Linked DNA regions of Danio rerio. The main gene of each other region encodes a partner of the protein of the gene in region 2 in a complex. Links are inferred from orthologs where the notes say so. Each region holds a gene or a part of one and is shown on either strand. Other genes may lie near its edges.

Evidence for each region. Proteins that work in one complex are often made in the same cells at the same time.
Region 1: the proteins of fuz (region 2) and wdpcp are in contact, whole or in part, in a cryo-EM structure (PDB 7Q3D), measured with the Homo sapiens proteins. The link is inferred for Danio rerio from reciprocal best matches to the Homo sapiens genes FUZ and WDPCP. Residues at the interface, in NP_079405.2 of Homo sapiens: His293, Glu372, Glu373, Pro374, Arg379, Gln397, Pro399, Thr400, His401, Gly402, Ser405, Leu406; in NP_056994.3 of Homo sapiens: Arg55, Ile57, Asn75, Lys78, Leu82, Glu418, Asp419, Arg420, Leu421.

Annotation. Positions count from the first base shown.
Region 1 is NC_133192.1:25,690,983-25,694,640, forward strand, and holds part of wdpcp (WD repeat-containing and planar cell polarity effector protein fritz homolog), read right to left. Parts: intron 2,985-3,658; coding exon 2,796-2,984; intron 1,844-2,795; coding exon 1,720-1,843; intron 1,385-1,719; coding exon 1,321-1,384; intron 1-1,320. UniProt on the Homo sapiens protein: Probable effector of the planar cell polarity signaling pathway which regulates the septin cytoskeleton in both ciliogenesis and collective cell movements.
Region 2 is NC_133177.1:3,682,530-3,686,287, reverse strand, and holds the start of fuz (protein fuzzy homolog), read right to left. Parts: upstream 2,767-3,758; 5' UTR 2,686-2,766; intron 1-2,685. UniProt on the Homo sapiens protein: Probable planar cell polarity effector involved in cilium biogenesis. May regulate protein and membrane transport to the cilium.

The DNA of each region.
Region 1 (3,658 bases), on a different chromosome or scaffold from region 2:
CTGCCTTTAGCTCCTTCTCTCTCTCTCTCTTTCCCTAGTTCTCTGTCTTTACCTCACTTGCTCGCTCGCTGGCTGCTCTTTGTTGATTCAGAAGCACTGATATTCATGGGCCATTCATAATTTGCCACTTTCGCCTCTCTCATCCTTTCTCTTTTTGCTTTTCCCAGTGCATGTCCCAAGAATAACAGATCCAGGTTTCCTTTGCCCTTCTCCCTCCCTCCCTCTCTCTCTTCTCTGCCCTTTCAGGCTTGTGTGGCTCGAGCTCCACCTTTTCAATTGGGGCCCTCAGCAGCAGCACTTAGTGGGGAATGAATTGGAACGAGTGCGATCGGCGTGAAAGAAGGAGGGAGAGAGAGGAACTGCATGAAAAAAGGACAGGGAGAAAGAGAGAGACAGCGGCCGGTGTGAACGCTAATAGGGAAGGTGTCACTCGGGCATGGAGAGAGGAGGCCTAGAAAAGGGGTCACACACACAGGACCATTTAAAGGAGTGAGAAAGGAGCAGGAGAGAAAAGATAGTGCACCGGCCACGAGAGCTGTGAAAGACAGGCTCACTCACTCTCCCTTTTTCTTCCGACCCCCTCCCTTTTTCGCTTAGCAACTGTTGCTCTCTGGAGTCTCGGGGATTCTTGTTATGGTAGGAGAGAGGAGACGTGACATGGCCAGGGGCCTCAAACCCTGAGCTGCACCTGCCCAGAGCCTCTCAGCCCATAACAGAGCCAGCTCAAAGCTCTCTGCAGGCGGAAGCCACCCGTAACTGCACTGATATCGTGCACAATGCCAACTCACTTTAAAGTCAGTTTAAAACACATTTTTCATTCAACTTGAAGTTATATAACATTTGTAATATTGATCATCATAGGTCAATGCTTTGATTATATGTAGTATTGTTTTAACAAATTATTAATTTTTTTAAATAAATTTAATTTAATTTTTTAAATATGCCCTCTGCCTGCAATTTTGAACTTTTTTAAATACGTAAATTGCTTTAATACATATCTAATACATAAAAGCCATGTATAATCACCATTATTGAAATAAAAGTTTAAATACAACAACATTATAGTTTATATTTAAGTAATAGTATATTTTATATAAAAGTAATGTAGATTTTAAAATGGAAAATCTTTAATGTTTTAAAAGTTAGCTTTACTTGCATTGTTCTTGTCGGCAAACAGAGAACTTTGAGCATTTTTATATAAAGATTTGACTGATGAAAATTACTCTAAAGCAATGGTCTTATTATATTTAAACGTGTTGCTTAAATCTCCAAATCCATTTAGTGTTTATTGTATGTGCATGTATAAAAGAAAGTGCTCACCATGAACAGATCTCTAGCACCGATATCTACAGCCAGCAAGAAGGCTTTTTCAAAGCGCTGGTGTCTGGAAGAGAGAAATACAGCCATTTCTGAACACCTGACTAACTGCTCATTTTCATTTAAAGGGATGGTTTACTCCAAACTCACACTAATGCCATCTGAGGTCTGTAGGTCAACCTTAGAAGTGTTTTGCCTCATGAAACATTAAGTGTTATTTTGATACACTTAGCTGTTTAATTCAGCTTAAAATCTTCTTTAAATGTTCTACTAAAAAAAGTGGCCTACATCTTGTATGGTTTTAGTGAGAGTTAAATAACCAACATTTTTTCAGTACTGTGTGAACTATTTTGTTAATGAGTTTTTTTAAGTGAAGAGAAACACAATGGAACAGGTGTGTACCTGAGTAGGTGATGGAAGAATCGTCGAGCGTATCTGCTGATGGGGTCCCTGTACTCCAGAATGACAGTGTTTGAGAGAGGTCTACAGGGCGCATAAAACACCCCCAGAGCTGCTTCCAGCTGGCCTGTAATGACACACAAAGGTATTAAATTTGTACAAGCGGTGGCTGCAAACAGTTTTCATTGCTTAAAATGCAAAATATTACAGTGGAGTCTGCAAATCTAATCTTCCTCCAATCTTCTGAGTGAATTTTTTCACCAGGTAATGTCACAGTGAGTTTAAGTGTGTGTTCACACTTGGCAGGATTGTTTCTTGATTGGTTTGATTAAAACAAACTCTTGTGGATTTACTCTGTTAGTGCAGTTCAGTTTATTAAATGTGAACGCTACAAAATAAACTCGATGTTGACCAAACATGCAAATCGCAAAAAAGTGAGTGAAAAGATTTGCTTGAAACCATCTCTGATGAACTTTGGCTTAAATATGAATGAACATAACACATCAAGTCACAAGATGTGGCAATGAAAAATACAAAATATTTAATAAGACCTGTTTTTCTCACCATAGTCATAATGCTGCCTGCTACAATTCAATAGAGTTGTTGGAATTAATATTTTTATAATCGTTAGACCTGTATTTGATGACCACTTTTAGTTTACAACTAAGTCTCAAACTAAATGGCAACTCGCCAATCACAGCTCGTGGACCTCTCCTCATCACCTAAGTTGCAATGTACTTAAAAAATGTACTTATAGTCAGTAGCTTGTCCTTTGGGGAACTAACAAAAAAAGTAAAAGTGACCAACAAAACAGATATACTAAAATACTATTGGGGGCCATAAATGTAAATTCTCAATAAATAAAATAATTTATCATTGGTTTTTAATGTGCTGAATTGTCCTGTTTGCCAAATACATTCAGAACCAGATCATATAATGTGATTTAAAAGGTGTTATTTTCACAAGTAAAGACCGTATTTAATTCTAAGCTGAGATTACTGTACACTTTCCCTGACACTAATTAAGTTTAGGTTTAGTCTCCATTCAGAAATCAAAGCCTGCAGGTCTGGGGTCTTTACCTTCAGTCTGCTGGTCCAGTGGTTTTCTCAGCAGGTGATCGGTGATGGAGATGAGTGACCTGTAACACTCTGCCCCCATAATAGCCCAGTCCATATTACCCAGAATTCCCAGAGCTGCATCTACCTCCTCAAAGCGCAGACGGTGCAGTATCAGATCACATGGGCCAAGCTGAGCACCATTAAACACACCTGCACATAGAACACATATATAACTATTACAGTATATTATTAAAATGCTCCATGTTTTTGGAGACCCAAATCAATCATACGATTGCTCACTTTCTCCAAAATCAATAAAAAATTTTCAAACACTGCTATAGTAATAGTAGAGGACACAAAATTAGCCCTTCTGTGAAATCTTAATTCTTTTTTTAAAATTTAACAAAGCAAAAAATAATTTCAGTTTTTCTTATATATTTCTTATATATAAATTTAATATTATATATTATAATTTAAATTGTGTTGAAAAATATGTCCTTTCCATTAAATAGTACTTTATAATAATAGCAGAAATATTTGAAGAAAAAAATAATCACACAGAAGAAATTAGAGGAAGTTGCTGATAAATTAGTTACTCTAAAAAAAAAAAGTACCATTGATGCCACGGTGAGGGTAACAATTATGTTTTTTTTTTCCTGTTTGGTAGTTCAGATGTCTATATTTTTACCAGTTCATGACAAATAAAATAAATAACTATTTTTAGACAAATTTTGAATACATATGTAACTGAAGCCAGCTAGCGAAGTGCTATGTAAGTAAACCTCACTCCTCTGACCTTAAAAAGTGCTCTAGCAGACGCCATGGTCTTTAGCCTCCTTGTTAGAGCAACCAACTCCCATGCAAAAATTCACCGGTTCGATCTT
Region 2 (3,758 bases):
AAATAATATTCAGTTTGTGGCACAGATTGATCGTTTGGGAGCCGCGCGCAAAGTATGAACAAGCACTTAGCAGTCAGAATGAAACCGAAAGTGTGCACTTCATTTAAATGATCACATCGCATTTTAGAGTTATGATTACGACAAGCATTTGATGTGTTTTCTTTCATAGCGAACACACAGTTGTGCATGAAAATAAATGTTTACAATGTCAGTATAACTACTCTAGCTTATATATTGCTGAATATAATCTGATGATGGCAAATGTCTGATTTTACCAGTGAATTAAATAGTCTAATATGACAGATTGCAAGCATATATCTCAAACATAATAATTCAACGTCAGAATTATTATAAGTAGAATAGAATTATTTATAGACACCAGTAGACCTACACATAATATTATTAGCGATGTTGTGCCATATGTCTGTTTTTACCATTCCTTTATTTTACATCTACAGAATCGTGAGAAAATGGTGATCTTTATTTTAAGCAAAAAAAATCGCGATTCTTATTTTATCCAGAATCGTGCAGCTCTAATTCAGCTTAAAGGCTTAACTAGGTTAAGGGCAACTTAGGGTAATTAGGCAAGTCCCTAGCCCCTTTCACACAGCGATAGTGGTAAATATCCGGAAAATTACCAGAACGACTTTACCGGTAAATTCTAAAAAGCGCTGTTCACACAGGCAAAGACGTTCCGGATTTTTTTGTAAACATAGAAGGGGTTCAAGTTTTTGTTGATGATTTCACATTTACAGGTGAAACCAGAAGTTTACTTACACTTTAAAAAAAAAGTAACATAACCATTTAAAAAAACAATGTCTGATGGTAAATCATACTAAACGTTTACTATTTTAGGTCCGTTAGGATTACCTACATGATTTACATTTGCTAAATGCCAGAATAATGAGAGAAAATTTGTAAAGAATTTTTTTTTATAATTTCTAGACCAGGGATGGGCAAACTTGGTCCTTGAGGGCCGGTGTCCCTGCAGAGTTTTGTTCCAACACTAGTCAAACACACCTGAACAAACTCATCAGTGTCTTCAAGATCACTTGAACTCTACAGGGAGGTCTGTTTGAATAGGGTTGGAGCTAAACTATGCAGGACACTGGCCCTCCAGGATCCTGTTTGCCCACACCTGTTCTAGACAGTCAAAAGTTTACAGTTTCTACAGTTGTGCCTCCAATTAACTCAAATGTTGTCAGCTAGCCAATCAGAAACTCCAAAAACCTTTACACCATCCTTTAAGCTTTTTTAGAGGCATAATAATCGTATTTTATATAATCTTGACTTTCAAAAAAAGTTTCTCAAAAAATATCTCTTATAATTCTGCTATTAAGCAGAACAGAAACAAATATGATAAACCTAACTTACGAAAAGAGAAAAAGATTACTCACATTGACATCTGACTAAAGTGCCTTTTTATACAGTGTATGTAAACTTCTGGTATCAACTGGTTTAAAAAGCCATTTGAGGAAGGGTAAAAAGTGAGTAAAATGTAACTCTGTGGTGAACTATCCCTTTAACTAAAACTTAAGTCAAGGCAAAGTTGGATTTATATTCACATATTTGGACTTTCTCCTTGATAATATAACTTTATAAACTACTCTTGAAAAATCATTAGCAGCCAATGACCAAGAGACAAAGTAACTTACAATAGTGAATTCACAGTTAAATAAATATTGCTAATGTTGTTTTGAAGTCATACTTGCATATTATGTCAGACCGAGTATTCAAAGTACCATGGAAAACATTAGGAGCACGTCAAAAGTTGTCACTGAGCGAATTTGTGAATGTAAAAGAGCAATTCCGTGCAAATGTCAACCTTGCCATGAAAAAAAAATTAAGTTTTTACCAAAATACGGAAAACCATTTCTGTTTTTTTGTGTAGGCAAGTATTTTACAGTACTTTAAAAATACTCAAAAAGCATCTGTTAATGTTTTCAAACTATTACTATTTGATTTACCAAAGTCACACAAATGGTAATTTCACATGCGTCACATCCATAACAGAGAGATGTCACATCCATAACAACACTTTTTCATCAGAAATGTGAAAATATTAAATAAAATAAAACCAATCATTTTTGTTTTATAGAGAGCCGACTCAAATCCTTTTGATTAGCATTATTTCTTTTGGGTTGTGCAGTTTAATTCACATAATTTCTACAAAGTGTGTTGTATACTGTAAACTCGCAGACTTTTTTTTGTCACATCCATAAGGCATGCTTATTTTCCACATTTAAAGTACAAAACACGTTTACAGATTGATATTTTTCTGCTCCCATAACTTTGTGGCTAGTTGCTCTAGAAAATATAATCAAATTTTTCAATAAAATGTTAACATATACTTTCTCTGTCAATTTATGGGTTGAGTTTTTACTGCAAATGTCACATCCATAACGCTGGAATTGCTCAAAACCAACTTTACGTCAGTCTTTAAAGAAAATCACCTCACCCAAACGGGAAAATCTGGTCTTCATGCAAAATGGACGAGCAAACACAACACACGATTCAGAATTACATTTGGCATGCTTCATTATGCAAAACGTTATACAAAACTAATCTGCTAATCCACACTGAGGCATTTTATCGTGTAAATTTAATAAGCGTTCGCTAAAATACGTTGAGTAGGAAATAATAACATAATAACATAATAATAAAAACATTTGTGTCTTGTCTCACCTGAATTATAAAGTTGCAAATGTAGCGTCTCCACAGCAACATCTCTGACAACAACAGCCACAGCGCTTCCTTCTTCTTCGCAACTCGATGAAAGTTTTTGGGTAACAATAAGATCCACTCCGCCATCTTCCGGAGACTTCAAGTGTGTGCAAGGAGAAAAAACTTCATTCATGTTAGTATTTTTCTTGGTTTTATGGCAAGTTTTTTTGTGTTTTTTATGTTATTATTGGTAATGTTTCAATTTATTAAAGGGATAGTTCGCCCAATAATAAAAAGTGTAGTCATGTTTCCTCAACCTCAAGTGGTTTCAAATCCATTTGTGCTTCTGTCATGTTGAACACAGTCCGTGCAATTTTCATCCCAGCTTTCTAATCATTTGTTCTGAACAGAAGAAATCAAACCAGTTTAGATCAAGTGACCCTGCTGAAAAATTCAGCTTAAACCAGCCTAGGCTGGTTGGCTGGTTTTAAAGGGATTTTGGCCATTTCCAGCCTGGTTTTAGCTGGTCAGGCTGGAAAATGACCAGCTAAATCCAGCTAAAACCAACTTGACCAGCCTGGTTTAAGCTGAATATAGCTGGTTTTAACTGGGCTCCTAGCCTGGCTAGGCTGGTCAAGCTGGTCATCTCTCAGCCTGACCAGCTAAGACCAGGTTGGAAATGGCTGGAAACCAACCTGGAAATGGCCAAAACCCCTCTAAAACCAGCCTGGTCGACCAGCTATAACCAGCCAACCAGCCTGGGCTGGTTTAAGCTGTTTTTTTCACTAGGACATTGAGTAAATGATTACAGAATTAAGACATTTGGGTGAACTGTCTCTGCAGACCATTTCAATGTGGTCATGTCATTGGTCAAGAGGCAATTTAATTATAATGTTAAAACAGCCATCATAACCAATATGTGGCTCTTGGATTCTCAGAAGCTAAGTTAAAATGTAAAACAGAAAATACATTAATTGGGACCATTGTTTGTTTACATCTCTCAAAATGGTCTATGGTTCAGGCCGAGTTGCATTCTTTGTGTCTTTATGTTATTATTGGTAATGTTTCGGATCATTTAAAGAGATAGTTCACCC